4 linked regions of the Drosophila melanogaster genome follow. The protein of the gene in region 1 interacts with the protein of each later gene in a pairwise test. Each region holds a gene or a part of one and is shown in the gene's direction. Other genes may lie near its edges. The genes, in order: RalGPS, CG31121, Arpc3B and CG9902.

What was found.
Region 2: the proteins of RalGPS (region 1) and CG31121 interact in a two-hybrid assay, tested with the Drosophila melanogaster proteins (one large-scale study listed by BioGRID).
Region 3: the proteins of RalGPS (region 1) and Arpc3B interact in a two-hybrid assay, tested with the Drosophila melanogaster proteins (one large-scale study listed by BioGRID).
Region 4: the proteins of RalGPS (region 1) and CG9902 interact in a two-hybrid assay, tested with the Drosophila melanogaster proteins (one large-scale study listed by BioGRID).

The regions. Positions count from the first base shown.
Region 1 is NT_033778.4:16,781,169-16,788,800, forward strand, and holds the start of RalGPS (Ral GEF with PH domain and SH3 binding motif), read left to right. Parts: upstream 1-2,502; 5' UTR 2,503-2,714; intron 2,715-3,601; 5' UTR 3,602-3,740; intron 3,741-6,006; exon of another isoform or gene 6,007-6,319; intron 6,320-6,986; 5' UTR 6,987-7,032; coding exon 7,033-7,092; intron 7,093-7,157; coding exon 7,158-7,498; intron 7,499-7,622; coding exon 7,623-7,632. Other genes in the region: resilin, read left to right, coding at 1-399, 739-873, 1,001-1,708.
Region 2 is NT_033777.3:24,889,590-24,897,368, reverse strand, and holds the start of CG31121 (uncharacterized protein), read left to right. Parts: upstream 1-2,763; 5' UTR 2,764-3,184; intron 3,185-5,533; exon of another isoform or gene 5,534-5,794; intron 5,795-7,779. Other genes in the region: CG11069 (uncharacterized protein), read right to left, coding at 7-193, 252-443, 500-638, 693-786, 841-958, 1,018-1,483, 1,539-1,683, 1,763-1,953 and 2 more.
Region 3 is NC_004354.4:17,102,406-17,109,018, reverse strand, and holds Arpc3B (Actin-related protein 2/3 complex, subunit 3B), read left to right. Parts: upstream 1-3,166; 5' UTR 3,167-3,243; coding exon 3,244-3,249; exon of another isoform or gene 3,250-3,362; coding exon 3,363-3,536; intron 3,537-4,032; coding exon 4,033-4,377; 3' UTR 4,378-4,448; downstream 4,449-6,613. Other genes in the region: CG4991 (uncharacterized protein), read right to left, coding at 4,934-5,175, 5,335-5,510, 5,619-6,613.
Region 4 is NC_004354.4:16,540,409-16,551,048, reverse strand, and holds CG9902 (uncharacterized protein), read left to right. Parts: upstream 1-3,528; 5' UTR 3,529-3,614; coding exon 3,615-3,701; intron 3,702-3,768; coding exon 3,769-4,195; intron 4,196-4,251; coding exon 4,252-4,502; intron 4,503-4,569; coding exon 4,570-5,163; intron 5,164-5,224; coding exon 5,225-6,038; intron 6,039-6,125; coding exon 6,126-7,366; 3' UTR 7,367-8,925; downstream 8,926-10,640. Other genes in the region: Arp2 (Actin-related protein 2), read left to right, coding at 584-799, 863-1,072, 1,143-1,571, 1,637-1,807; CG9903 (uncharacterized protein), read left to right, coding at 10,268-10,640.

The DNA.
Region 1 (7,632 bases):
GGCAATAATGGCGGTCGTCCCTCAAGCAGCTACGGCGCTCCTGGTGGTGGAAACGGTGGTCGTCCATCTGACACCTATGGCGCTCCTGGTGGCGGTAACGGAAACGGCAGCGGTGGTCGTCCTTCAAGCAGCTATGGAGCTCCTGGTCAGGGCCAAGGTGGATTTGGTGGTCGTCCATCGGACTCCTATGGTGCTCCTGGTCAGAACCAAAAACCATCAGATTCATATGGCGCCCCTGGTAGCGGCAATGGCAACGGCGGACGTCCTTCGAGCAGCTATGGAGCTCCAGGCTCAGGACCTGGTGGCCGACCCTCCGACTCCTACGGACCCCCAGCTTCTGGATCGGGAGCAGGTGGCGCTGGAGGCAGTGGACCCGGCGGCGCTGACTACGATAACGATGTAAGTGTTTGAGATAGCTTAGCAAATAGGGTATATGGTAAAATGGGATTTGTATACGGGGATCACTGGGTGGAATTGACCACAAGGGAACACCGCTCCACCGCCCACACCGCTGCACACTTGCCCTTGCAAATCTTTGGTAGACTCGTTATCGCTCACCTGCACAGCCATCGGCGTTTAAAGCTTGCATCCCCATAGAAAACTGAATTCTTGATCCCAGACACTCTATCTCTCTGTGTTTCTCTCTTTCTCCACACGCCCCAATCCGTTCTCCATTCTCCATGATCCGCTGTCCATGATCCATGCTCCATGCTCCATGATCCGTTGTACGGCGTTTAGGAGCCCGCCAAGTACGAATTTAATTACCAGGTTGAGGACGCGCCCAGCGGACTCTCGTTCGGGCATTCAGAGATGCGCGACGGTGACTTCACCACCGGCCAGTACAATGTCCTGTTGCCCGACGGAAGGAAGCAAGTAAGCGGCGGCGGCAGCGATGGCGGGCAGCAGAAGGCGATGTGGATCCACCCACTGCTCCACCACCTCATCCTTCTGTCACGGCTAACATTGTTATCTCGTTCTCTTTTCTCTTTGTCTTTCTTAGATTGTGGAGTATGAAGCCGACCAGCAGGGCTACCGGCCACAGATCCGCTACGAAGGCGATGCCAACGATGGCAGTGGTCCCAGCGGTCCTGGAGGTCCTGGCGGTCAGAATCTTGGTGCCGATGGCTACTCCAGTGGACGTCCCGGCAATGGAAATGGCAACGGAAATGGCGGTTACTCCGGTGGACGTCCAGGAGGCCAGGATTTGGGACCTAGTGGATATTCCGGTGGTCGTCCAGGAGGTCAGGATCTAGGCGCCGGTGGCTACTCCAATGGCAAGCCGGGCGGCCAAGACTTGGGACCAGGCGGTTACTCCGGTGGTCGCCCTGGAGGTCAGGACTTGGGTCGAGACGGCTACTCCGGTGGACGTCCAGGTGGACAGGACCTCGGTGCCAGCGGCTACTCCAATGGTAGGCCAGGCGGCAATGGCAACGGTGGATCCGATGGCGGTCGTGTGATCATCGGTGGACGTGTGATAGGCGGCCAGGATGGCGGTGATCAGGGCTACTCCGGCGGACGTCCCGGTGGTCAGGATCTTGGACGTGATGGCTACTCCAGCGGTCGTCCTGGTGGTCGGCCAGGCGGCAACGGCCAGGATAGTCAGGATGGCCAAGGATACTCGAGCGGCAGGCCGGGTCAGGGTGGCCGGAATGGATTCGGACCCGGTGGTCAGAACGGTGACAACGATGGCAGCGGTTATCGGTACTAGGAACGACTCACAGACACATTTAGCTAGATTCCCCGAACATATAGCAATACCTAGTGTTAAGTCCTTCTAGAACTATGTCCCCTACCTATGCCCCTCATCCTTCCGCATCTATTCGTGCCCATTCTATCCCACTTCTTGCTGTCTTTCGCCCATCCATTCAGCCTGCTCAATTCCTCGTAGTCGTAAGTCCCTGTTGATCTAAATGCAAGTGCGAAAAATAACCCAAAAAAAGGAATGAAATGATAAAGCTACTTCCGATGTAAGTAAAGAAATTAAATACATATATATTTTTTATAAAAGTTAAGGACTTTCATTGTTTGGCAAAGGGTCGGTATTTTGGATCATGGGCTACATACATATGTACATTTTTGGAATTTAAGATCGAAGCTTTAAAGGGACATTATAATCAAATTTCGCATTAAACTTTTATCAATGCTAACAAGTTTCAAAAAAGAATTTAAAAAAATTATCAAGACTGAGTTTTTTGGCCATACGGCTCGAGTCAATGCTACATTGTTATCCAGGTTCCCAACCAAAATGTACTAATAAATTTCAATTATAACTTGCTATAACAAGAACATACAAAACAAATTTTAAAATTAATATTTAAAGAAATTATTTGAAAAACAGTTTTAATAATGAATATCTAAGTCATACACTGAGATACATAAAAATATGGAATGGAATCTGATTAAATTATAATGACTTTAAAAAATATATTTAAGAAGCATATTTTACCGTTCGACTTATATTAGTACATTTTCGTGAGTGGTATTTCAAGCCAAAAGCCACACGGTCACACTGTACGTTGGCGTCGGCGTCGCGCGCGGATCGTTTTCGGCTAATTCGCTGCTGAATTTTCGTTGTTCTCGAGTTTTAAAACAAACGAACGAAAGGTGAAGCCAATAAGCGTGGTGAATAGTAATTAAAAAAGCGCGACGCAGTGGCTGTCATCGCATGTACATCGATTATTTGATATAAAATGCACCAGCAGCTGGAGCTCGAAGTGAGTTGAAAGTGCGGGTTACATAGGTGGGGCGGCGAAAGCCTATAAATAACAATATGCATTGCTATTTCGGATTTGGGCGTCGCTATCTTCGTCCATTTGTCGCCCCAAATGCTCCAAGATCCAAGTGGCAAGTGCAATGCGTTGTGCCATTTTTTTTTGTAGTTTGTCGGGGACTGATTACGAAACTACGCCCAAGTGGGTGGTGGGTGGTTGGTTGGTGAGTGGGCGCCACACTTTGCATACAATGAGCTTAGAACCCCAAACGACAGCAAATTGCGTGAGAGTGGCTGCCTGTGTATCCGTGTTTATGTTCGGCTTCCCGTTTTCCGCTTTTCGCGTTCAATTCTATCGATTTATTTCCTCCGCGAAACAAACATTGATTATATTCGAACATACTCGTAAATGTCTCGAAATGTGAATCATCGGGTGGCGGCGGCCAGCGAAACCCACTTGCCACTTCCTTTCGGCGTTAGATCAGGTGATAAGCGGCTTGATAAGAAGATACTCGCAGTCGCAGGCAACGCCTCTGGATTTTTAAGAGCCAGCTGCTGTTGATAAGCACCGCAAAAAACGATGTGCTCCATTCGTATCCCAAATAAATAAAGCATGGAAACACTGCAAAATGTGATATTCATCATTAACTTTGTGGTCTGCCGTTCAAAAATCCAAATGTACTCGTATTACATGCAAGTACTAATTGCAACTTTGCTCTTCTTGGAAATGTAGTGTATATTCTGTAGTATACTACTGTAAAAAAAACCGTCGAATTATTAACATTACATTCCCCAGTCCAAATTCATATCAAGTACGAAGTATTTACTAAATATTCAAACTGCATGCAATTTTCTTTCGGTGCATCTGTTTTGCCCGGACTCGTCCAACAGGATATGTGCGACAGATGTTTTTGAATGCGTTGCCAAGATGCTGAAATGCTGCATTTCAAGGTTTCTCGCCCGTTTCCAATTGCCTTTTGTTCATGCTTATTCCTTGGACTTAAGTACAGCCACTCGACGCAGAAATTGGGTAAGTGGCTCAGTTCTAGGCTCGCTGCTCCGCGACTGGCTGGATGCTCACCAAGTGACCCACTTTGGTGGCTCACATGTGCCATAGATCGCATGTACATATGTATGTATGTACATGTATAAGCAGCTCATGAAACAAATACAAAACACGAGAATAGGAGATGAAAGAAGAAACCCCAGCTCGATTGCTTGGCCTTCCTTGGCATTGTTTTTGTTCAAGCTACTACCCTACAAGTGGGTATTATAATTGCACGCATAAGTTGGCAACGTTATGCTGCAACGGTGAAATCTTAGAAGTCGTATCTTGCATTTGAAACTACTTACATATCTACCTGGCCAAAAATCATGTATCTACCTGTTTTTCCGCGAAAACAGATCTTCAAATCGAAATGCCATCTGTTTAGAAAAAATATGCACAGAACCCAAATTCCGTTTTTCATTTTGTATACAAATTCGGAAGAACCGGAAACGGATGACTATATCACTGGCCTGCCATAAATAACAATTTACGTCTTGTTTATGTGGGAGTATGTTGTGTTTAAGGATGGTATAGGACAAAAGTTGCAAAGATCAAAAGTGGGCTAAAAGTTCTCTTACAAATTGGCTCTGAATGGGATCAGTATAACATAATATATAGAATTGTGCCAATTTTATCTCATAAATAAAGATGTGTTTAGGGTACTCCGCCTTCGATCCTCGAAAGCAGGCTTTCTTGCCTTGCTGCTGCTTTGGCACCTTTCCATTTGTAGTTTCTCTCTTTGTTGTTAACCAGCGTAATTACATGTATTTATTCTGGCATGCATGTGTAAGCAAATAGTTAGACGACTGTCTGATAACGCCCCTCGCTTTTCAATGGGAGATTAGCTAAATGTTTTCCCACTCGTGTAGAAAACCCAAGTCGAAGGCTGATCGTAATAGAGGCTAAGTATTCAGTTTTAATCGCAATCTTTCGAGGCGGTTATTGAACCTGTCAGTTGAATATTTCAATCGCGAATATCACCGGGCGACAGCCACTCGCTTGCCGTTGACCTTGCGAAACGGTCGCTTCTGTAAATATGCATTTCGCCACCCCGCTTTTGAACGGCAAAGAAAGCTGCTCCAGAGATCTTTAACCCCCCTCTTCTAGAGCTGGAGGTCAGTGCGAGTCAGCGAATGGGTTGAACTGCAAATTCCCTTGATGGTCAGTCATCACTTGTCATCATAGCGAATTCCAGTGCTACCCACAAGTTGAAGAATTTATCAATGGAAAATGCCAACACAAGAGAAAAAAAAGAAACGAGAAATCTCACCGAGTTTCCTCAAGATTATGTAGAAATGTGCTCGTCAGTATATGCTATTGTATTTTATTTAAATACAATTGCTAGTCTGATAAACAAAAAACCAAGAATCGAAATCGCCCATAGGCAAATGTGATTTCCTTGAATTCTACAGCTGCGTTATTTGTTTTCTTTTAAGAAATTTGTGTAAAAGCAATAAACACACTGAATTTTCTGTGGGAGTATCGATATAGTGGGCGATGTTTTTGCCTCCAAGCAGGCATACATATGTACATATTTCGCCATATCCCTGACCACGAAAAAAAAAACAATCAGTATTCATTCGCCCATCAAAAGTTTACAAATTCGCATTAAAGGAGCGCGCTGTCTGGCAGGAATTATTTACAAATGCTATGGATTAAATTGTATCCAGTGGGTGGAACTTTACGAGCCCTCAGATGAGGCAAGTAAATCGTTGGGCTTTAATTGCATTGGATGATATCTCCATTAAAACGCCGACCAGCCGAAGGGAAGTCCAGAAGAAAAATGGCACAGATTGGCGCAGATACAGATACATATGTATATGTATGTATGGCCATATATATGAATTCAATAAGGAGAGAAGTGATGTGTATATGGAATAGTTCAAATAGTCAATAAAGTCCATTTGTTCAAAATCTTGAGGCAGTCGTCTGGCATTTTGAAATATAATTCGCATACGCCTGGTGTCTTGTCTACATCTTGTTTCTGTTTTTGTTGCCTTTCCGCCCAATTTGTTTTCAATTCATCTGTATACTACAAATCTAAAATATATAGGACTGTATTTTTTTAATTCTTTTGCTGCAATAGAGATATATATGTATGTAGATTAAATCCCAACTGAGCACAATGAGTTTGAAACGATTTAGAATGGAATTCATAATAGATAAGAACAGCATAAAAACAATATCGTTCCCCAACCGATTTTATTTGCATCCGTCTTGGGAATGTATCTTTTGGATTTCGCCCACACTAGTCTCGAGATATTTGCGCTGTTATTTCAGAGTCGGATAATTCAATTTGCTCAAACGGAAAAGCGCAAAATAATCGAAGGAAACCGCAGGCAGAAGCCCAGATATACCAATGACAAAGTGTGGACGTCATTGCTTTTGATCAGCTTTTGCTTTCAAATGATTATATCTTAATTGAAATTAATCAGACGGGGTCAAAACAGTCAGTCTTAGAGGAATTTTAAATACATATGTGTATTGTGGTTGGTGCAATGATGGGAAATAAATGAATAGTGGTTTCTAGAAGGTTGTACATGCCGATAATGATCCGTAATGTAAGTGGTTACTTTTGTTTTCATTTCATTATTTCAAATAAATATGTTTCTCCTTTAATTACGTAAACGTATATGTACATATGTACATATTGTGTCATTTCTTGATTGTATATTTCGCACTTAAGCGACTGCATTTTGTTTTGTGTTTTTGTGGAAATGAGAAAAATGCCGGAAACGAATGGCTTATTTAAATTTTAATTTTCTATGCCTTGGTCGACGGGTTCATTGAACTGGGCTGAAAACCAATTTGGTTTCTAAACGGGTGACTTGTTTTCCAACCAAACTTTCCGCTGACCGCTGCAGCCCGTGACTTTTTATCAGCGGCTTGCACCCCCGAAAAGCCATTTGACCACTTGAGAGCTACCATAAAAGAGCATGGAATGGTTTCCTCGCACCGCTCGTGACTCACATGGCCCGCTCCATTGGAAATCGAGCAGCGAAGCGTGCCAGAAGCTTCGTTTCGGCTTGCCACCAGTTTTTTCCTATACTTTTTTGTTTTTAATTTCTTTTGTTGTTTTCTGTTACGAATGTTCGTGCAACACAAAAGCCACAATGCAGAACTGAGGAAAACAAACTCGGTTTCAGTCAACAAAAAGTCTGCCCAGTGTGCGGAACACCGAGAGCCAAAACTTAATCACGAAGTTAACTTGAGTCTTGTCCATTACAGTTTTGAAGAGCTTGTCGAAGTGCAACGACAGCCGGAGTTGGCTGCCATGATGCGATACTCGGAAATCTCACGCGACCTGTCCACGGATAATCTGCGCTACTCAGAGGTGGCTATCTATACCTTCTTCCCACTCGATTGTAGTTCGATATTAAAGATTTTACGTTATTTCAGTTAAGCAGAAAGCCCACCACGGACTATAATGGATATACGGGTCAGGCCTATGCCGCGACTCAATTCAAGCAGAGCTCACCTCCTCCTCCTCCTTCACAACAGCAGCAGCAGCCAACTCGGGTGTCCAAGCAACGAAGTCCGAATACCAATGGTAGTGCCCACACCATGGCCTGTTTGCGCCAGGAGAAGACCTACAAGGAGCAGCAAATGGAACCGCCCAGTATGCAACCGCAGGCCAGCAAAACTCTAAATATCAAGAGCACGCGCCGCAAGAATTCCATCGGTTGTTTGAATAGTTTCTCCTCCTCGCCAGATTCGCCTGGTTGCTACTACACTATAGCGTAAGTAATCAGTAGTTAGAGCTCGGCATATTTATACAATTTGTATATGTATGTAGTAGTTACTCGGCATCCAAAGTTTCAGACAAATGAATTCCCCACTAAGCACAGTTCTTTCAATTTGTAGAGCCTCGGCA
Region 2 (7,779 bases), on another chromosome or scaffold:
ACTTACATCGGGATCCGGCAATCCCAGTCGCTCGTGCATGAAATCCGCGGGTTTGGGACAGATCACGGAGGCGGTGGGAGTACAGTTGAGTTTCCTCGACTGGAAGGCGATGCTGTGCAGCAATGAGGATGCGTAGCGTGTGTGAGTGCCCTTCGTGTTGTCCTGCAGCCAAGGTTGAAGTCCCTTGAAGGAGCTATTGGTACAGACACCTCAAGTAACTCAAACTATAGTATGAACACAGCCTTACTCACCGCACAGTTCCACTAGCCAGTGCAATACTTATGACAAGGACATAGGTCACTGCAATGGCTGCGTTGAAGGGAACCTTGACCACCAAAAGGAACGCGATCGTGAGCTGTTCCGCCAGCACAAAACTGGACCACAGGGCCACTAGCAAGTAGGCGAAGACAGTACCATTGTTGTACTTCACATCCAATAGCAGACTGAAAGAAATAGATATATAGTTTCGAGTCCCGATACCCAGAGAGATGAAACTTACGGATATACAACACAACTGGCTATGACGGCAGATACGGCGGAAAATGGTATAGACACGGAGTTGTAGGCAATCAGTAGAGTTGTGCCCGAATAGAGACCCTCTGGAGTATCCTGCGAGAACTTCTTGCGCCAAATCGGAACTATGGTAAAATATGCTTAGACAGCTTAACATTGAAGGGAAAATCGAAACTTACATAAAGATATGGTAGTCAAAATTCCACAACCGTACGACAGCCCCAAAATATTAAGGATCATGCCGTTTTTTGTAAAGAATCCATGTGAATCGTCCTAGAAAATTATATTAAAAAATGCTTAAAATGTATAAAAAATTAAGTTTCTTACCCCGACATCTGTGTAAAATGCCCATAGGATGCTTAAAGCCAATGGAAGAAGCAAAAGGCGCAGAAATAGTGTCTTCATACCAACGAGTCCACAGGAGAAGGTTGATGCTAATAGTTTCCTAAAAACGAAGTCAAGAATTTTATCATATTTGAAAAAAAAGAAGTAAGTTTAACTTACAGATACAGCATAACCCAAACTTTGAGCTCTCCAGGCTTTCCATAGGCCAGAGGCACTTTCCCAGAACCCATGTTGTTTAGAGGGGCATCCGAGATCGGTGTTTCCCGAGAGAAACGTTCCACCAGCGCCTCGATCTGCTGGCTAGACTCCAGGAATCGATCCCGACTGCGACGATCCACAGTGGACAGGCAGAGATAGTACATCAAGGGATTCTCGAGCTGTGGACAAGGGAATCCGATGCCATGAAAGTACTCCAGCATGGCACGAGTGCCTCCTGAATAGACCACTCCGCCCAGGCAGAGGAATAGGGCTCTATCCAGGAATGGGAACACATCGGAGCGAGGTTTCTCCAGCGACAGAAGAATTCCACAGCCCGTCTTCTTGGCCGTGTTGGACAAAATGGATATCAGCAGATAGGCACTCAAGGGATCGAGGCCATGGGTCGGCTCATCCAGCAATAGCATGACTAAAATAACATTTTTGTTATTTAAGGAATCTTTGTGATATATTCATCATTTTACCAGGATCTCTGACCAACTGTATTCCAATAGCCAGACGCCGTGCCTCACTGATATTAAGATACTCCACTCTCTTATGCGCCACTTGGGAAAGGGCCAAATCCGCCAGCACTTGGCGCACTTTGGAACTCTTCAGATAGCCACTCAACTAAGAAGGGTTTGGGTATTAACACAGTCAGTTATTACTTAAAATCTCTTCATATTCATTATTTTATACAAATACTCACTATAGTGGGGGTATAGTGTAGTGTTTGGGCCACCGTTAGACCAGGAACAAAGGTGCAGGATTGGGTGACATAGCCACATCTCTGTTGGAACAATGCCTTGGAGAGCGGAGATCCATTGAGTAGCACCTGACCACGAGTTGCTCCATCGGCACGTCTAGAAATAACATCTAAAAGAGCTCTCTTGCCGCTACCTAAAGTTGGTAAAATGATTATTATTATTTTGTTTTAACAAAATGTAAATTAAAAATATACCCTTCGAGCCCAGAATGGCCATAACCTCGCCGCTGTGCACGGTTAGATTGACGCCTTTGAGCACCAGGGCCGAATTGCCGGCTCCATTGAAACAGCCACCACCATCCACCTGTTGTTCAGGCCAAAAAGAAAACAATAAAGGTTTAATAGCAGGGGGTTTTCACGAGTCTAAAGAGAACGTACCTCGGTGGTGTGGAAAATGTTGTGGGCTTCCAGTACGTAGTCGCTGCCGATCATTTTCATAGCCACCGCTGGGAGAGCCGCTTTTGTTTGTTTATACTTCTCGTGCTCTTTGGGCCGAAAACACTCTGTTCGTAACTCAAGAGTGGTTTGTTAGGAGCTGATTTTCAGTTCCAGGGAGGGAAGAGAGAATATCAAGAGTGTAAAAGTGAGATTGAGATGTAGAGATACTTGATTATAAATTGGTATTTGGCTAAAACTGAAAACTAAAATTTTACACAATAAACAATTAGGAAAAATCCAACACATATTTTTTCAAAAAACTTTAATACATATTTTATATGATATTTTAGATGCTTTATTAAAATATTCTTCGGTAGTCACTTACCTCCGCGAACACGTCCTCACCAACTGAGCGCTCTGTTCCAACTGAACTGAAACTGTTGCTTGCCATTCCAATTGGCATGGCTTGAACCGCTCCGCTCCGCCTGGAAAGCGGCTCTCTCCGGCCAACTCGCTTCCAGGCGAAGCAAGCGGGCTAAGATGGCGGCCGAGGCCAAGTTCAGATCAGTTCGCTGCGAGCCGAGCTCCGAGAGAGTTGCCTCCACCGATCCGCGGTTCGCGTCGATTCGATTTTTTTCTGGCGGCCCCCTAACACACAGTTCCCAGAAGAAAATTACAAAAAAAAAATATGAAAACACATAAAACGCATTTGGAAATCTAATTGAAATATTCACGGCTTAACGGGCTATAATATACACACATATATCTGTGCAAAGGCGAATATTTTTTAATGACCACCGGGAAGTGCATGCAAATGTGGTTATTTGTTGACTCGCGGAATATCCAATAGATACAAAAAAAAAAAAAAAATAAAAAAAGGAAAAAGTGGCCAATATCCAAGTGACGTGAGTGTGTGTGTGAGCAGTGTCTATATGGTCTATATAAAATATGCAGACATCGGTGTAGCCAGCAGATCGACATTGTAATGTAAGTGTTTTGCCCAAGTTATGAATGAGTGTCACCGAGCGGCTAATTAGAGTCCAACTGGCCAACTGGTATTTACTGTTAATTGTATTAGGCCAACGGCAGCACTTGCCACCTCGAACCAAATGAAACCGACGAGTATCCACCACGGTCCACGTTCCATTCCTTTGGGTATAATACTAATACCTTCTGGTTCTTCTGTTTTTTTGTACTCCCCCCCTCTTCTGTTCTTCTGTTCTGTTCTGTTCTGCTCGCGCGGTCGTCACCATCGCAGGTCAAAGATCCCGCGAGCGGGTTTTGTCTAGCAAATGTATCTTAGCCCACACTCCATCCACCACTGCCACTGCTGGCACTTCTTTGCCGCTCTCCCTGCGCTCAGCGCCCTGCAGAGCCCAAGCGATCCAAAGTGGAAGTCCAACTCGATGCCAAAACCAGAACCCAAGTGCCAGCCAAAGCCGGAGTCGCTCAAACAGCCAAGTGCCTGCTGCTCAACTCAACTCCACTCGGCTCGGTTTGTCTTGTCTTTTATTTTCTCTGCAGCTCACTGCTCCGCTGCACAGGAAAAAAAGCGAGATAATAAATCTAATATACAAGCAATATATCATATTTTAAATATTTATGTTTTGTTTCATCAAATGGCTTCATTTCATGTTTCAGCTAATGGCTATAGCATTAGTATAGTGTAAAAAGATATATCCTTGTTGCAAATTGAATAAAACAAATTTATTTAATTATTTAGTAAACTGTTTCATTCAAAATATTTGATATTTTGTTTTTTAATAGTTCAAATTATATTTCCAACATTTTTATATCACATATCATTATGTAGTATTTCTCGCTGTGTGCCAGTGTGTATCTCACAGATACAAGTTTCAGTTTGTTTGTTTGTTTGGCCGGCTGTCTTTGCCTTTGCCATTGCCTCTTTGCGGAGCTGGGTTCTTAGCTCTCCGGGGATCGCTGGTTGTTTGCTCTACCCGCAGATGCTAGCATCGTCTTGGTCTGGTCATTTCCTCGTAAAAACTGCCTTAAACTTACGATCGAGCACTATAGCCATTATTTGTTTTTATGTTTATACTTTAAGCACATAAATAACTTTTTATGCGCCTTAGAATAGTTTGCATAGCTTATGGGTTCTTTTTTTTTGCAATAACGCAAAAGACTTTGACTTTATATAACCATTCAATTTAATCTACTCATTTCTGTAATAAATGATTGCAATATATGTTTAAAGAAGAATAAAGTTTGTCACGTATTTCGATGACCCGGAGAGCGATGGATTTAATTTCGAACAAGATGTGAAAGCCATAACAGGTCTGAAAGACATTTTTCGCTGGGTAGAGGCAAATACTTTATTCCGGCGTGTACTCTTCCTATATCGGCTCATAAAGAATAACCACGCGGCTAAGCAACTTTCACATTCATTTTGCAATTTCGATGCAGCTGCCAATCTGCGCTCACAATCACTTTCAAAATTTCGTGCCGCGGAACTTGATTTCTCATCGAAAATGAGCTGCGGGCTAATGGAGATTTTGGCGATTGAGATAATTTGGGGCTTTAGCACCATTCTCAGGGCCCCCCCAACTGCAGATTATTGTCAAGCTAATGCCTTTGGCCCTTCGCAATGCAAATTCCCAGCCTCCGTTTCGGGTCCATTTCACTGAATCTCGCACCTAATTAGCCATGTCATGTTGGCCGGACCGTTAGAATGCTGTTAAAGCCATGGCCAAGCTCATTGAAAAAGTTCCAAAATGTATTTTGCTTCTTCGAGCTGACTTGCTGGATTGTTTTTCTAGATTTTCCCATTGTCGTCGCTTTTTGCCGCCGTTTTTTGTGGCGTAAATTAGTTAACAGTATTATTATGACCGCTAACGGGGCTCCCTGATTTGTGGCTGCTGTTCAGGCCCCCCGCAAAAAAGATATCAAGCCATTCCGGGGCAGAGAGAAAAAAAAGCGTTTAGAAGCGGACCGACAGGCAGCGATCGTAATTCAATTTCGACAATTTCAATTCCAGTCCAGAAGAAAACAAATACAGAAACTGAGAAAAAAAAAGGAAAACAAATCAAAAGACTTAAGACAGCAACGCGGAGTCTAGACAAAAAGACCAAGGCGCGGCAAAGAGCCAGCTTAAGTTGAATTGATTGTCAGTTATGGCTTTGTGGTGAGTTCGGATCCGGAGTGGGGTGCTGGTGGTATCTAGCATTGGGTATATGGGATCTGGTCTTTGTCTTGGGTCTAGGCTGGTTTTCTGATCGGTTCTTTATAGGTGTGGCTGCATCTAGTTGGCCAAAACTTGTTCTTGTTCTCTCGGCCTGAGTCCTCCATATGTGTATGTGTTCAATTTCAATTGAACTTAGTCGCTGGTTATTCCGATGGATGGATGGATGAATCATTGCATTTAATGATAGCGGACTCTGGATGAAGTCAGCGGCGGGCCATTGGAATGACGATGATGATGATGATGATGATGAGACGGAGACCCTTGGTCGCTGGCAAAGTGAAAACTCAACGAGCAGGAAATGCAAATTCGAAATTTCCCACTTGCATAGGCAATCTCTCCAGCTGCGGGGCCATTAAAAGTTGCGACCATGAAAATTGTGGGCATTGATAGATACGGTACGGGGCCACAGTGAGTTAATTTACTTTTTATTGTAATTAAATTAACACAGCATAGCTGAAGACGTAAACGAAGAAGAAGCCGCAGAAGCAGAACAGCTGCATAATTAGGCGAAGAAAGTACATTTCAGGCTACACACACTTCGTGACTTTTACGGCCGTAAAAAGAGAACTCCAATTCATTTCGCTCCAAGTTCACAGGCACGGTTCAGACATGCCGCTGACATAGAATCAGAATAGTGGCGGAGTCGGAGTCGCAGATGAGACCTTATTTGATTGGACGTGAGCCGAATAAATTGCTCTTAAAAACCATGTCACATATTTACTTGGCCCCCACATTTTGCACTGGGAAAAATAACTGACACCTAACATTGCTCATTCCCCCCAAGAAGGCTAGTCGTGTAGATTTTGTTTGTATTTCAAACAGCGAAATTAAATGGAATTCTACCAATTTGATGTTGATTTCTGCGCAACTCGAAGATGAGAAATGTTCAATAATAATAAAGTGTGATTATTAAGAAATCTCTTACCACAAAATAGTACACTCTTCGACCAAGCTAAGACATTTTCGTTGAGTGTGGAATTGGCGCCCATAAGACCCAGTTGCTGTGTGTCTTTGGGTCTGTGGGTGTGTTCGGGAATTTGGCCAAATAAGCCCGTCTGTCGCATTTTTATGCATGCAATGGCAACGCAGGGAAAAATTGCCATTTTTCTGTTTTCGTTCGGTTTGCCATGGAATTTATGTCAATTAGCCTGGTGGCACCACACGTGTTTCCGTGGAGGCGGAGGAGTAAATGGGAAGCGGCGGGATCGGCATTGGCATGCAAATTTTTACCCACAATTGTTGGCCACTTTCACAAGTCTTTCGCAATACAGGAAAGTGTTTTGTTTCGACTCGGTTTTAAGTCGTGTTGGGGGGGGAGAGATTTGTTTTGGTTTTCAGCTCGGCGTTAATTGCCTGTAAAGATGCCCGAAACTGTGGCAAAGTTTCGTATTCCGTTTGGGCAATTAATAAAACTGACCTTGCCTGAGTTTTCTAACCGCAAAACTGAAAACTGAACGCTCAACGCTGAAGCGCTGGAAACTGAAAGCCGATCCGAACCGCTGAAATACGCTGAATTGAGACCACCACTGTGGTATTGCCGGTGGTTTCGGTGGTGGGGGCTATGCAGCCATGACGAATATTCGTTGACGGCATGACATTAGCATTAGACTTTTTGGGGTCACAGTCAGCGGAATTCTTGTGCTCGCATTTCTGCCAGCTCGTCGGTTAACTCATTTCTGGTTATGCCCCTGCCGCGGATATTGCCCAATTTGATAGCGATTTGTAGGCCAGATTCATTAGTTTGCTCACAAAACGGGTCAGGTCCAGCGGCTTTGGTTTGCCATTAGTCAGTGTTTAATTAATCATTTTTTCTTCTTGTTCTCGCACCATTTGTTGACAGCAGCTTGTGAGGTATATTAAATCAATCAACAGCTCAGCGGCTTGGAAAAATGTTAGTAACCAGAAACGGACGTATCAAAAGATGTCATACTAAACATTATTTTTCATGACCATTTTTTCTCGCTGTGCACCCATTCACCTGCTGGGCCTGGTGCCCATCTCTGCCCGAATTTCGTCGTTTCGACGTTTACCCACTCATAATCAATTTACGCAGCCGAAACTTTCACAAGTCGCAGAGCTGTGGCATCTCGAAGAATTCCTCGCTGCGTGCTCGTCTGCTCTTTGACTGACTGACTGACTGACTAACTGAGCGACTGTCGCTCATCCGCCATGGAGGCCAGTGGTATAACATGAGCATCTATCGCACAACGTGGCCAGCAATTTGCATACTGGCTTTTGCCGGCCAGCAGCGACAACGATTGGGCACAAAAAAACGTGCTAAAAATCAAACAAAAACCCCAACGAAAATCTCTGGAACCCGTGTGTTCAATTAACACGCAAACACACTCTCAGAAAACAAGTCGTCTCGGATGCCTTTCCT
Region 3 (6,613 bases), on another chromosome or scaffold:
CCGTCGGTTAACCCTCGCCAGCCGCAGACACCACAAGTGACCCACTCACTCGAGAATCGAGAATGGGGAATGGAGAATCCCTCTCTTTTCGCCTGTCTGAGCTGCTTTTTATGGAAACCGGCTAACTTCCATTTGACTTGGAAGTCGGGCCAAGAGCCAGAGCCTCGTCTTCTTGTCATCATTTCTGTGCCTTTGCTTTTCTCTTCCTTCTTTCTCTGCACGGCAAAAAATACATACATTTTTTCCCACATATCGCCAGTTAGCGGACCAAAAATGCATTGCTGATCCATTAACATATTGCCATTCCTGAGCCCAACTGGTTTTTTGTTGGCTGTCTTTAAGGTGTGATAAAAAATCTCGTATATTGTTGGATTTCCATATTTCAGCCTAAAATGTTACAATTCTGATGGCCAGGTTTAAAGTGACCAAATGCCGGCCAAATAATCTTATCTTTTTTGTCTCCATTTTAAGATTGCCTTAATATTGTTTATCTTAATCTTTAAATAAGGGTGAAATAATTTAGGGTTACAAGTGCAAGGAACTTTCTATTATCTATTGAGATAATTTTAATAATAAAAGAAAATTATGATATTGGGGATTACGCTTTTTTTTACTTAGTTAATAGGTTCTCTCTCGTGGATTCTGGAAAGTTATTTACTTGTACACCTAGGGATCCTATTAGCTTTTTGCCCCGAGGTGGGAACTCTAATGTTATCAAGACATATTTTCCAAGTTGATTCTGAAGCAAATATTTCCAATCAGAAGAAATCATATAAAAATATATACATTTTGTATACCAATTCGCTTTACTGTACATTTTCTTAGTAAGTTATTTTTCTCAGTGCACTGCATTTTACTTCGACTGTCAAGGGCGTTTTCTTCTCTATTTGGAAATGAACAGTTACTTTTGGGACGACTTTAATATTGTTACATTTACTATATATGAAGAGCATAACTTACCTTACAACTTCCGTTGTCAACTGTTGCTGTTTGTTGTTGTTGTTGTTGGACTGCTTGGAAGTGTCACAGTTCTCGTCGAATTTGCATTCAATAATAACAAAAATAATGATCACAAGAAACAAAAAGCCGCGCAAGCAAACAAACAAACACACACACGCACGCACGAGGGCACACTAGTGCGCGAAACGAGTTTATTTGCTGCACACAACAGCAACAACAACAACAAAGGCGAAAAGGAAACCGCAAGCAGCCAAGGATAAAATGCGATTAGCAATTAAATTCCACCGCATCGTCGGGTGCTCGATTTTCTCTCAGTGCTGAATGGAAGGCAGCGAACGAGCCAGTGAACGCAAAAAAAAACAAAACAAAACACGGCGAAAAAGGTAAATAAACGCACGAAACGCCGACGAAGGGACTATTTACAAACTCTCATCGCTTTTGAACGGAATTCAGCAACGCAACAACAGCAACTACTCAAGAGGACAGTGTGACCAGCGCGGTAAGAGTTATAAATATCGCAAGGCATAAAATAATACCATGTACCATATACTAATTTGTTCAGCGAAAATACTACTGCTGTGCCGCTATAGGAATTTAATATACTTTATTTGATCTCAATCTCGATCTCAATCAAACCATACTAATAGTTCTATCGATATTAGTGTTCCTAGTATTTTGTATTTACATACAGCTTACATTCGCCCTACCTGGCTTATGAACGACCTCGATCTTACTATCTATCTACAATGCTATGGTAAGGTTTACACCGTTTTTCCAATATTTCAATCTCGCTGGTTCCAATAAACTCTTAAAAGGTAACTGCGTTAGTTGATAATCATCTACATCAATTTAATTTTTAACGGTCACTTTCAAACACTCTACTTTCCTTGTATATTTATTTGTACATGGGCCGCGATATTTAGGTTCGAATTTTTTATTAACTCCAGGTGTTGTATCAATATTTCGTAGAGCTTCAAAATCTCGAAATTTATATTCCAAAAGGGCTTTATTTTTCTTCGCATTATATTGCTCAATATTATGTTGTGAGTGATGGATATTAACATTAGCATTTAAACTAACAGTATCTAGGTCTGTTTGCTCTAAATTAAACGTGTGCTCAATATATTCTGGCAATTCGTCAACTATATGGCCTTTTTGGCTAACACCAAATAATTGAATACTATGTGATTCTTTAATACTACTATGAATAGTAATGTTAATGGCAAACTCTAATTTATTTAAGAAGTTACGGCGTTGCGCAGTTGAACTATAGTCGCGTCTTCACCAAAATAAACTTTTTTTGATTTTAATATGTCAATTATATCGGGTTTTGATTTTTTAAGAATAGCACTATATTCCAATGTATTACTGCTTTATTATTGTTGTCTTGGTCTGTAACAATCTTTTTAAGTATTTTTATTCACGATGTTTCTCTTTAAAACAATTGATTTAAGCTCTTCGATCTCGATCACACCATCGTTTGTTCTTCAGACTATACAATTAGTTCTATCGATATTATGTTATCGATCGATTATATTTTACCTAGTATTTTATATTTATACACAATTTACAAACTTCTTATCTATAAACAATCAACTGTGTCGACCATCGAATAATGTTTTTAATAGACGTAATTTGTATTTTCAAAGTGAACTGGAACATGTGAAATAGTTTGAGTGTTAACCCAAATGTGTCTGGGCACACTGCTTTCGCCTTTGTAACTTACCGCCAAAGTTGAAGCTTTTCATTGTCGCGCGAAAAGTTGGAAACGTTCAATTAATTATTTTTTAATAAAAAAGCTATATTATATTATATTATATATATTGTATATTAATATATATATTATATATATTCGATTGGGGACCTTATTACAGTTGTTATGTTCATTTCTTTCCTATTTTTTATCTATATCTTTCCCATTTTTAATTAGCAAGCGCAACAAGTTCTAACCGAAAGAGCCAAGTCCTGTTAACTCCATTTCTGCATTGATATCAATTTCATATGCAACAGAACTAAAATAAAACGACGAAAACTGAGACGTACTTGCACATTTATGTGGGAAAATGTCAGCTTAAATGATTAAAATAATATCTTTAGAAATGTATATTTTCAAAAAATACCAAATAAACTCGGAACGAACCAGTTCATTTTAACGCCAATGGGTCGTTTATTCAACTTCAAAAAGATAACGTTTTCACATCACTAGGAAGTTCTGATATATCATATATTACTATATTTTTCGTTTATTTTTAACTTTTGAAAAACAAGACAGAAGTCATTGAAATGCCGGTGAGTAAAATACAACCGAGGTATGCAGCTGCAGATGGGCAGTTTCTTAACATAAATGTACATTAAACGCATTAAACCCTTAACCTGTCCATTTGTTTACATGGTTCGCACAGGCATTTCACTCGGAAATAGAGGATTTCCAAGCCTCGGTGGGGAATATGGCCCTTCTACCACTACGTACCCAAGTCCGAGGACCAGCGCCCACTGTTGATATTCCCAACGACATCATCGATGAGTCACTCTACTTCTGGAAATCGAACATTTTCTTCCGCACTTACGAAGTTAAGGTTGGTGACTGGACAAAGAAATGAGCATAGAGATAAAGCGAGGCGATATTCTAATTTTTAAAATGAAGATACATTAAGAAGACGGCACAGCTTGTTAAATATTTCGAAACAATCTTAAAGCCCTAGTGGAGTCAATTTTATAATGTTAAAACCAAGTGCGTTATCTCACCGCCCTTATTTGTAGAAATATGTCGTTACAATCAGCCTGATAAGAGTGAAGTTATTTGTTAAATTTTTAGTAATACCCCTTTCTTATATGGTGTTCCAAGAGTTGGGTATTTCTACATAATGAAATTATTTTTTTGGAGCTTGGAATTTTTTTTTAAAAGTTCAATAATAGCTTATAGCTTATATAGCTTATATTACTATATAGCTTATAGCAATAATAGTCTTATCAATTATGATATCATTCTTAGAATATTGTTGCTATGTTTAAACTTTTAAAATTACTTTTTAAAAAACCCCTATTACCCATACATTGTATATCTAATCGCAGTCGGAGGTGGACAGGGTGCTCATCTACATAACGCTCTACATCACGGAATGTTTGAAGCGATTGGCCCGATGCACAAGCAAATCGCAGGGTCAGCAGGAGCTCTATACGCTGGCCATCTCGCGGTTCGATATACCCGGAGATGCGGGATTTCCGCTGAACGGAATATACACCAAGCCCGAGGATCCGGAGCTGATGCGTCAGTACTTCCTGCAGTTGCGCCAGGAAACCGGAAACAGATTGCTGGAAAAGGTCTTTGATACTCCGGATGGAAAGCCGAGCAAGTGGTGGATATGCTTTGCCAAGAAGAAGTTCATGGAGAAGAGTCTTTCGGGACCGGGAATGTAAAAGACTCACTAATATACTGCCGATCTTAGAGTATTTACCACCAAAATTTACGAATAAACTGCTTTGAATGTATTAAATTCGTTGTTGATTTATGTTTATTGATTTATACGCTCTCAAAAGCGCATATTTTTCACTTTGTAAAAGAACTTAGTGTTAAACATTGTTGGCTGAAGGCTAGTTAATACTTTATACATATATATTTATAAAATCGATGAATAGCATTTATTACATACATATGGCTTTAACGATCATTTGCAGGCTCTCACACAATCAAAGCCCTATTGCTATGGTAATCAATTATTAAAATGGGTTATAGCTGCAGATCATGTTTTTCCTTTATGCCTCCTTTCGTTTTTGTGCCAAATAAACATTTTTTTTATACATACAAACAAAAAAAAAATATGCACAGCTTAAAACTATCAACAAAATAATAATAAAAAAAAGAGTGGAAAAATACACAAATTAATCTTACATCAGAACAGGACAACGCATTCACATAGTTCCGCGGAATGACAGCATTATTTATGTACAAAATATACTTGCTAGCTCTCTAAGCCTACTTAAACTCCTTGACGATCTCCACGATGCTCTGGTAGGTGCCAGTGACGATGCCCAGCACGGCCACCGTCAGGATGAGAATGTTTTTGATGTAGGACCACACACCCAGTGCCTTGGGCACCTGCGCCCGCGTCACGAAGTCGATCAGCACCGGAATCACAAAAGCCAGACAGGTGGAGCACAGTGCTCCGATCAGCGAGATGAACAGATTGAGCTTGGGAACGACCAGCGCAACGCCAACTGGAAAAGCACATATAGAAATATATTCCGAATAGCGTAAAAGCTATAGCTATGATCATTTAAAACGGATATTACTACATTATCATTGATATTGATCAATATAGTGATTCCATTTCCAATTGTATATATATATATTTTTTTAATTTACAACCCACTTACATGTCATCATCACCATAAAGAAACGGAGGCACACCTGCGAGGTAATGGGATACTTTTGAGTGCAGTTATTAGACCTCTTTAGTGGGGGCCACAAAATCTTAATCATCACAAAGAACTGGATGGGGTAGCCCAGGAAAACGCCCAAAGCAGCGATCACTTTCACCACCTGCGAAAAACTGCAATGAAATCAATAATATTAATAACAAAACAGGCGATTCGAAAATAAAATGTAAAAAATCATTACAAGTAATTTCATATTATCTTAACCTGGTGATTCTACTTACACTTCCTCCACTACAAGATTTAGCGTTATGCTGCCGGCTACCTCCTCGCCCCATCGCACATAGCTCACGAATCCGGTGAAGATGAACAGGGCCGTGGTAAAGAACATCGTGGAGTTGAGCACTCCGAACCGGGTGCTAAACTTCTCCGGTCGGCGCATCGAGTTCCGCAGCGGCAGGATGAGGGCGATGCCCTCGTAAGAGAACAGAGCGGTACCAAAGAACAGGGCCAACTGAGCTCCGCCAGTGAAGAGGTGCCTGTCGCCAACGGACGGCATGGGTCCATCCGAGAAGGCTATGGTCAGGGTGGCAATCAAGCCGAAGAGCAGCGCCACATTGGCAAACAGCGACACGGGCGAGATGTACTTCAGGTTGGTCATCAGCGAGGGTATCATCGCCGGTAGCAGGGTGATCAGCATCACCATGCTCATGCTGATAACGATGCCGTTCTGCTGGAGGACCTGGTGCAGATTTTCCGTGATGAAGACAAAGTAGATGGCGCAGAAGCCAAACTGCGTGACGCAGAGGAACATTTCAACGATCAGCTTCATTACGCGCGACATTTTTCGCAGTGGGCGTGGCCCGTGCTCGAAGCACTTCTCCACTGTTTCCGGATAGTCGAGAAAGTCCACGCCGGGCGTGCGCTCCACGGCCAGCACGGAACCACGGATCAGCATGCGCTCGCAGTGGACGCACATCACCGCAATGATGGGCAGCAGGATGGTTGCTCCTGCCAATCCGCCGTTCTTGAAGCAATCGCCCATGGCGAAGAGTCCGGCACCGACGCTGCCCTTGAAGAGATGCGTAGCCGCCTCCAGTTCGCTGGTCTCATGGCCGCGCCTGCGCACCGGGTCTCCGTTCTCAGGATCGGCGCCTTTCTCCGTCACATTCTTCGTGAAGCGCTCCGGATTCTTCTCCAGACTCTTATCATTCTGTCTTCCGGTTATTTCCAGTGTTCTTCCCATTTCGCCGGCTGCTTCGATCGCCTTTTGATCACT
Region 4 (10,640 bases), on another chromosome or scaffold:
GTTTAAAACCGAATTCCAATCGAATCTGTTCAATTTAACGACAAATTTACGTAAATATAATTTTTGTTATTTAAGTTTTACTCCTATGTTTTCATACCATTTGTTTCCTAGCTTACACCCTTTGGTTTTTTTTGTACATATCTTAAGGCAACCAAATTCAGTTGCTTCTCGTTTTAATTGTGATTTGCTGATTTGAAATTGTTATGTGTTCTCGTCTGCATGATGTCCTGTGTCTGCTTAGCCCTATTTTAATCCCCCGTTTGTTTTGCACGTCCCTGTGTTTGCCAGTGTTCCGGAAAGGCAAGTCCTTTTCCGCAACTACTCACACTCACTGCTGCCTCTTGTTAATCGTTGATTGTTTAGACGAGTTTAGTTGCATTCTTGTAGTGTGCTCGCTGTTATTGTGCCTAACACCTGTGTATGTCTCCCACACTAATGACTAACCATCCCAGCCTCTAAGCAAATACCCAACCAATCAACCATCCAACCAACCAAACAGTCCAAACCAATCCGAATCCCAATGGCTATCCATTGACCAAGCCACGGACACTAACGCTGCGTCCTCTGACGAACGAATTTACAGGATCTGATGGTCGGCGATGAGGCCTCACAGCTGCGATCCCTGCTGGAGGTCTCCTATCCGATGGAGAACGGTGTGGTGCGCAACTGGGACGACATGTGCCACGTGTGGGACTACACGTTCGGTCCCAAAAAGATGGACATCGATCCGACGAACACAAAAATCCTGCTAACCGAGCCGCCCATGAATCCCACAAAGAATCGCGAGAAGATGATTGAGGTGAGGTCATACCATATTTTAAAATCCCACTTCAAACTAACATTGTTGTGTTTGTGTTCACAGGTGATGTTCGAGAAATATGGCTTCGATTCGGCGTACATTGCCATCCAGGCCGTGCTGACGCTATATGCCCAGGGTCTGATCTCTGGCGTGGTGATCGATTCGGGCGATGGTGTAACGCATATATGTCCCGTCTACGAGGAGTTTGCCCTGCCCCATCTGACGCGACGATTGGACATTGCCGGTCGGGATATCACTCGCTATTTGATTAAGGTTGCTTTGCCTTACAATTACATATAGCCAAACTGTGACTTATACTTTCGCATCTATCTATGATCATTAGTTACTGTTACTACGTGGCTACGCTTTCAATCATTCCGCCGACTTCGAAACGGTTCGCATAATGAAGGAGAAGCTCTGCTACATTGGCTACGACATCGAGATGGAGCAGCGTTTGGCCCTGGAGACGACGGTGCTGGTGGAATCGTACACGCTACCCGACGGTCGTGTTATCAAGGTCGGTGGCGAGAGATTTGAGGCGCCAGAGGCTCTGTTCCAGCCGCATTTGATCAACGTCGAGGGACCGGGCATTGCGGAACTGGCCTTCAACACCATCCAGGCGGCAGACATCGACATACGGCCCGAACTCTACAAGCACATAGTTCTGTCCGGCGGCTCCACCATGTATCCGGGTCTTCCCAGTCGGCTGGAGCGTGAGATCAAACAGCTGTACCTGGAGCGGGTACTCAAGAACGATACGGAAAAGCTGGCGGTAAGTTGTCAAGTAAAGCTAATCAATGCACATCGTGTTTAACAAATTGAACGATTACATTGCAGAAATTCAAAATACGCATTGAGGATCCACCGCGACGCAAGGATATGGTCTTTATCGGCGGAGCTGTTCTGGCGGAGGTGACAAAGGATCGCGACGGCTTCTGGATGTCCAAGCAGGAGTATCAGGAACAGGGTCTCAAAGTATTGCAAAAGCTGCAAAAGATCAGTCACTAGAGGCGGATGGATGCGAAATCAGTGTGTGTGTGTGTGCGGACCGCAAGAAATAGGATAAAAAAGTGATAGATTTCTTTTCTCTATTTTCTATAGGTTTAAACCTTTCAGATTTACGTGATATATCCGTCTATATATGTTTTTTTTTTTGTGTGTGCCTGTGCGAGTGGGCGTGTCTGTTGAGCAGGATTGGTCCACTTGCCCTTAGATTATCTATAATCGCAGACATGTCGTCACTGGTCGTTATCCCCGTACAATATAATGTAATATTTCTTTGAGCGCGAAAACTTTAATTCGATAGTCGCCTAAATTGTGTAACCCTGCATTAGTGTGTTTAATTGTTTATAATTACGTCTAAAATTCAAACCCAAAAGCCCTTTTCTTTAATGAATACGCATATATAACTATATATATATACATATATAAATTCAAAGCACCTCGAGTGCGGCGATATTTTTGTAAACGCAAAATGTTTCATTTCCAGCGAGTATTTCACATTAAGTATTAACTAGGCCAAGTCTGCTAGTAGCAGCTACTAAAATCGTGTGTGTGTTAAGACAGAGACAGAGACAGAGGAAATATAACGAGGAAGTTGCATAGCACAGAAGGAGAAAGCGCGAGTTCGGTCGTTAACTAAATACACTGATTGATTCGATCCCGTCTCGCCTCCCGACACTCGACCTTAAAGTAAGCATTTCTGGATTGTCTCCAACTAGATAAAGATGAAGTTACCTACCCATAAAGATACAGATAATCGAAGTCACAAGATTACGCATTTACGTTGCCCCATAATCGAAAGTACCATCAGTCGAAGTGTTAAATTTGATTTAATTTCCTTACCTGCCTTTTCTAGTTAGTTGCAATTTGATGATTGTTGGGGTCGCAACTATCGGCATATGATGAATAGTATATACATATACATATGTGTGATCCATATACATATATCCGTATATGTAAAATGAATGTGGAATGCCAATTATGTAAGTGAATGCAATAAACGTAATTATGTATGATGTGTACTGTATACTGTAGTCTAAAACTAAATCGCATACGACTTTTTTATGGTTTTTTTTTTGCCAAATTAAAAACAAAACAAAAATGACAACAAGAGAGCATGCTATAGTCGAATTCCCCGACTATCAGATACCCGAAAAGAGTTGTTTGGCAAATGGATAGAAATTTAAGAGACTAATAAAAATATGAAAAAATTCAAAACTTTTTTTTAAAAGTGAGGGCATGCCCGTTTTGGGCGGTTTGTGGGCGCGGCAACATGGGTCAACAAACAGTTCTTGAGATCTCGACTTTCATGCGGACGGACACGTCCAGATTGACTCGGCTATTGGTCCTGATCAAGAATATATATACTTTTATATGGTCGGAAACGCTATTGATCGTGATCAAGAATATATATACTTTTATGTGGTCGGAAACGCTTCCTTCTACTTGTTACATATATATGTAATTACCAACGAATCTCGTATACCCTTCTGGTCTATAGTAAGTGTTTTGTATTCTTGTTTCTTTCAAATAAATTTTTAAATTACTTTTGCCTGCATAATAAAATTTCAGTTGGCAACAATGGCCTTAGCGAATGCACCTTCCACATTTAGCAAATACGCCTAGCCTTACAGTTTAGCGAGTATATGAACCTCGTGTAGACAGCGTTGCCCCTTTCGATTAACATCGATTTACAGTAATCGGGTTCAGCTGTTGTTCGTTGCAACTTTCAAGCTAAATTAAAATAAATCGAAACCGGCAAAAAAAAGGAAATCGACTTGACATAGCATTGCCATGAATTAAGTGCTGCAAAATGGATATAATATTTTCTCAGGATGTGCACGATGAACAAAAGTTTCTGGATTGTGCGAGGAAACTAGAGTACGACGAGTTTTCGGCGGTAAGGACTTGCTTTGTACATAAATCCTTATGCACACGTTTTCATTGCTTAAATCTTGGTTTTATAGAAAATGTTTGTATTCTGCAATAAGCACAGCGCTTTGGATGTGTTTGAGCTAATGGGCGATGACCGGTTGTCGCAGTTACTCTACGGATGGGAGGTGTGCCACCTGCCTACCAGGGATTCCGAGTCGCTAAAGGACCCAGCGCTGCGTCACATGGTCAGGGTTTTGGTCTACCACTCGCTGCTGATGTGGTTTAGCCAAGAGTGGAAGACCTGCTCCGAAGGCCTCAAGCAGCTTTTGCTCTACACCCTCACCAAAGCAATGCCGGCATTCCATCAGATTGGTGAACTGGCCAATATCAACTGGTCGTACGTTCTGCAGTTCCAGACGAAGCCCTGGAGCCTGCCCTACCTGCATCAGCTATTTCTTAACCTGGAGCTGAATAAACAACACGGCATCGAACACAAAGTTCAAGCGGCATCAGGAGAAGGTAAGCCATTACTAATTTTCGTCAAGGATTCATCTAATCATTGCCTTATTTCTTAGATGTTGCTTTCCTCATGCAGGAAGGGGTATCTCTGGCCCTGCTGCGACTAATCCAGCTCTTTAACGCCGGCAACTTTGAGGCTGTAAAACAGCTGGCGCTTCGGATGCTAGCTGCTTGGCTGAAAATCCACGAAAATGCACCATTTGTGTCCTTTAAAGGGGATGAAAACACAATTACACTAATCGGTCATGTATGCCTCTTGGCCGCTTTTGTTAGGGATGATAATCAAGGCTTTGTGATTGATAATTTGGTAAGGAAAACATTCATCATGTAACTAACATAACAAAACTAAATGTCGTCATAAAACCACCTCGTAGATGTACAACATAGGGTTCTATGTCCAGATCATGGAGGAATTTTCGAGCTCACATGATATTAACTTTACGCCAGCTCGGCTTATTGCCCGCGTTTGCGTCCGTCTTCGACTCGGAAAGAATGCGTTTTTTGAGAAAATTGCATTTAGGAAATTCAATCTATGTATGGTCACTTCATTTGCCGTCATACTAGATGCCTACTCCAGCTATGTGCTGGGAAATTTATTGATGGATCTTCAGTCGCTTAACGAGCACGATTTCCTGGAGCACCTGCCACAGTTCAAAAAGCTAATGGATCGCTATGTAGAGGAGCGCGAGAGCAGCGAGCGCTTTCTTCTAAACGAGCTCAAGAAGATGGAACAACAGCGAAACAGCTGCATTGAACCGCATCTAGTAAACCTAATTCTCAACTACAAGCAGCAGATATGCAAGGGAAATCGAGCCAGCAACATAAGCAACTACAAGAACAGTGATGACGACGAAAAGATTCAGCCTGAGGTGGGCGAAGAACAAGATAGACAAGTAGATCCGGTTTTTCAAAATGTACCAAACAATGAGGAAGTTTTGAGCTTTGTGTACAAATTGCTGGCAGAGCGGGTAAGTGATGAGAACTAACAAAAGCGAAAACTTTACTAAGCACCGCGCTTTTTTAATTTAGAATTTTTCAGGCTGGAGATTTGCTAAGATTGCTCTGCTGCTGAAAATTATTGGGCAACAAATAAATGCATTAGAAATGTGGAGATATCATCCCGGGTTAACCGTTGATTTTATGCTCGATTTGGAGCAAAAGATGTCTGCAAACTATGCTGACCTAGCCAAATTGTTCTCTGACCATGGATTTATGGAGGCAGAATTCTGGCTGACTGCTTTCTACCTCCACCCCACATCATCAAATTATAACGAAGTAAAGCGCTGTTCGTGGATCATGAAAAATCGACAGGAGGAGGGCGGGCTCCCTGCTCCAGCGATTGGCAACGTCAAGTACGAACTGCTGAGCTCCACCATCGATGTGCACCAGATTATGACCATAACAAACCATGAAGATCCAGTGTCCGACTACGATCCAATAAACGAGTCGCTGAAGGCGTTGCGTCTACCCAGCAACATGACCAAGGATCTTCTGACCGTGGTCTTCCAACCGCGACATAAACAATACTCATGGGCTCTCGATTGGCAAACGCTAGACGAGCGTTGCAGTGCCCTACTCAAAAGCCAGGACCTGAAGAGAAAATTTGTGTCTCTTAACATGGCCGAATCATGCGACGACTTGAAGTATCTCCAGATCGACTATGCCAAGTACAGGGATCGACCACAGTTGGACTATGGCACCATAGAAGAGGGCTACGAAAATGAGACTAATCTCTCGAATGCAGCTGGAAAGGCTGAATCAACACCAGCAGTGCATGATAAAGCAGAGAAAGCCAAGGAGCTGAAAATGCGGCGACACGCAAAACGCAAATGTTGGTATGAAGGTTAGCAACGAAATCTTTTTTCTTTGAGCAACTTTCATATAAGATTAGATTCAGTCAAACTAATGAATTGAATTTTAAATCCCACAGTTTCGGAAGACGAGGAAGAGGCTGCCTCAAGTGATTCGGAGCCCAGCTACACAGGAAATGGCCGCCGAACACAGATTAGAGCCGCAGCCATTGCATCCAAAGCTAATGGTCGCCGGACTGGGATTAGAGCCGCAGCCATTGCAGCCAATATCAAATTGTCTGAAATGTCCTTTCCAGAGACATCGAATAGGCGCTTTTCTACACAGCCCGTCGTCAAGGAACAGCCAAAAATCGCCGTCCAGCCTAAAAAACAAAAAACAGTATTGTTTTCGAAAGAAGAGGATGAGGTTTCCTCAAGTGATTCGGAGCCCTGTTACACAGGAAATGGCCGCCGGACTCAGATGAGAGCCGCAGCCATTGCAGCCAAGGCCAAATTGTCTGAAATCTCCTCTCCAGAGACATCGAATAAGCACTTTTCTACACGGTCCATCGTCAACGAGCAGCCAAGAATCGCAGTCCAGTCTCGAAAACAAAAAGCAGTAATGTTTTCGAAAGACGGGGATGAGACTTCCTCAAGCGATTCGGAGCACTGCTACACCAGAAATGGCCACCTGAATCGGATTAGAGCCGCAGCCATTGCAGCCAAAGCCAATTTGCCTGAATTGGATCGAAAAGTGAGCGGTGGGCGACGATCGATCTTTCCAGAGGCATCGGGTAATCACTTTGTTACACAGCCCGTCGTCGCGGAGCAGCCAAAAATCGCAGTTCAGCCGCAAAATCAACAAAAGCGTACAATTGCCGAGCTGATGAAGTCACGACCCATGTTTACCAACGAAACGAAAGGATTTAAGCCGATCGCCGACATATGGAGTTTCAGCAAGGAAGAGCTAGAGAATGTGGTTAGCGGGCCCAACGACATGATAGAGTGCAGCTCGATTATAGCCAAAATGAAGTTATTGAAGGACCTCAAAATGGCGAAATCTGCAAAAGCAGCCGGACAGCCATGTTCACAGCTCGTTCGCACAGGATCAGAAACTGAAAGCGTGAATTCCGAAACTTCCACGATGGCTACACACGAATTTAACGAGAAGGGGACCACTGTAGGTTCCCCCGGTGAAGGTAAAGAGCAAAAAACACCTTCGCCGACCGCAAACTCCGAATTAAGCACTGAAACAGAAGTGTTGAAGCCCACCGATGAGACTGAAGCGCATATGATCCATGACGCCCTAAAAACTACAAACGTGCCACAGAAGACTCTGGACTTACAGTTCTTGTCCAAGAAGCACATAAGAACTGGATAACAGACCCAGGAGTCCCCAGGAGATGTCATAGAAACTAGTGATCTCAAACAGGTCCCCCTAAATAGCCTGTTCAAAGTAGAGGGACTGGATGCAAGACAGGCGACAGGAAAGCCAAAAAAAAAGGAACAAACGGAACAGGATCTGCCAAATACTAGAAAACACAAAGATAAGCTTCACATGCAACGCCATTTTTTTTTTTTTTGTTATTTCTTTACTTACATATATACCATAACTACGTAACAATTTATTATACAGCCTCGATGTTAGTAGAGATGTGAAACCGGATAAGGTACTGCCGCAAAGCATTGCTTCGCATTAGGGGCACCAAAGATTTGGAACCTCACGATCTTGGTGCTTTCCGGAAAAGCAAACTGTAGAGCCATGTGAGACTCCGGACATGAACCCGAACTTTCTGGATCTCGATGTCGATTCGAGGACAAGCACCCGATTGCTGAAGTAGCTACCTACGGCGTGCAGCAAGTAACCTGCTACCTAAAAACCAAGTGACCGTGGAGATCGCGTCCAGCGTCGACAATTCTTTCCGGAATCCGTACTGGTTTGTAGAAAGTCCCCATGCAGCCGATATTGCTGTGTTGAGCCTCGCCGCGATCACCTTCTCGAAGGCAGATGGGTCTTTACGAGAAGGGTTCGGCAGGGTGCTTGCCTTGGTTGCCTTCTATGGGATCCGATCGGGTCCTGATTTCTTTCTGGTTTTGAGGCTTCTCGCAGCCGCCAGAATCTTGGGCTACGTGACCGGCCGCAAGTGGTCAGCTTGACACGTCTCCGCTTATCTGCCAAGTGGTAATGGTCTCCTCCAACTTCGCTGCCATTTTATCCGCTGCTGCGTTCGCCCAGTCTGCCTCGTCGATTGTCAGCTAGTGAAGAGAGCCGTCTAACTCCTTCAGTCTCATGGTGTCCTGTCGGTAGGCCGTATGAGGCTGCTTCCTGGCTGTCGAGTGCTCTTGTGCCGATTTCGACCTGGATCTCAACCTCTGATCACCTCTACCTTCCCGCATATGGCTGCTATGCTTGTTCGGTCTAAAACCCACTTGTTACTGGCCTTAGCCTTGTACGGCTCGCAGAGGAGAGCCACCTCTGTCTTTAGATCGCGATCGGTCTAGGTAAGCCACCCAGCATCCAAAGATTCAAATTATGTTTATGGCGAGCACCTCGACATCCGGAGGGGCATTGTTTGCTACCTTTATGCTTCGTGCTCTTCTTGCCTTCAACTTGCCCCCTTATCCATGCAGTTCCGTGTTAGAAGCAGAAACTTTCTTGATCATTAAAAGGACCATAAACACAACAAACATATTAAAAGAGTTTAAAAAGCCCAACGCAAAGTATCGAAGTGCAATTAAAGAAGCTATCCAAAAATGAAAACTGTGATATCCTAAATTCTCCAACATTCCTCTAGATTATAAAGTTAGCTTAGTCTTTCCTAAATTAAAGTCACAAAAACTGCTACAAGACTACAACTTGACTAACAAGAAGATTGCTCTCTCTCCAAAGGGCCACCTCTCTATAATATCATTGAACTTTTCCCGAGCCTTTGACAAAATAGGTATCCGCTTCCTTATACACCAATTAGGTCTCCTTAATTAACCTTTCCTCACCCTTTTGAACAATATAAATCAATGTTGCACTTTCTCAGGTGCGGCTAACTTTCAATAGACAAGTGCAAATAAATACAAATGCAAACCAAGACAAGAGAGAGTGCTTTAGTCGAGTTCCCGACTATCAGATACCTGTTACTCAGCTAGTGGAAATGCGAAAAAGAAATTTCATCATTTTTCTGTGATATGAATAGATTTTAGGTAATTGGGTAATATTAATAGGTGAGTTTTTTCAAAAGTGTGGCCGCTTCAGTTTTGGGCGTTAAAGTGTGTCGTATCAAATCGTTAAAAAATTTACAAGACTAATAAAAATATACAAAAATAACAAAGCATTTTTCAAAACTGTGGCCGTGACAGATGTGGGCGTGGCAACATGGGTCTGGAAGATGCATGCTTAATCTTCAACATTCTTGCTTTTATAGCTCCCAAGATCGAGACGTTCATGCGGCCAGATTGATTCGGCTATTGATCCTGATCAAGAATATATATATATATATATATAATATGGTCGGAAACGCTTCCTTCTGCCTGTTACATAACTTTCAACGGATCTAGTCTACCCTTTTACTCCACGAATAATGGGTATAATAAAAACAGAAACAAACCCAACCAATCTTAAAGCGTTTTATTACCGGGTGACTTCGAAGTTCCCACAGCCAGCCAAGCAATTTATTGCCCCCGATCGAAATGTTATTTTAACAATTCGCCTTCTTTGTGGCCGTAATCAGTAGCAAATTGTTTAGAGCTCATCTAAACAAAGTGCAATATATTGCAATGCGAAATAACAACAAACAAAGGAATTCCCAATATAACTTAGACAAGCAGGTAGCGGATTTGTACAGTCACAGGTTTTAAAAAATAAAACAATTGAAATTTTTGAAAAATGAACTAAATTTGAATTGATAATATTTCAGCATTTTTATAGATTTTATTTATTTTTATTATTTCTGCTCCTTTTCTTCTTTGCTTTAGTTTTTTGTTGACCCATTGTTCGTTCGACTTTCCCATAGATACGCTAAGTTAATATGCTTATCATTGCCCACAACGACGATAAGATGCACTCAATTGAATTAGAAATTCCCACCAAGACCTTTACATTTACAAACCAACCTGATTTATTCATATTATTATTCACACCTCCGGTTCGCACCTGAGCCCGTCCGATAAGAGCAAATCGAACCGTCTGCTCGATGGCCAGATAAAGCCTCTTTGTGATCCACGACCCACTCCAGCACTCGGATTCGTCGGAGTAGTCAGAGTTGTTGGTCAGTTGGTGTAACGACGCAGCATGGGCAATGTGAATAAAAATATCGGACGGCTGCTTGTGGCGGTGGGAGTGCTGATGATTCTGGGATTGCAAGGTGTCCGATCTGAGTATGGCGACCTGGCCGGCAATTGGCTGGTGGATTATGATCGAGACGAGCTGAATTTTTTTGAGGATTCGACTTGGAGCGTGGATTTGCACATATACAATGTGTTACCGAAGGACTCTTCGCTGGATTACTACTTTGTGGTGTACTCCAAGGATGATCGGAGGGCGTCATCGCCACCGCTGGAGATAAAGAAGGAGGATTTCGATCTGTTGGGCAGCTGGCGGGGAGCGCTATATGTGACTGGAGTTCGCTTTGGATACAGTTCACTGGAGGTGGAACTGAAGTCCG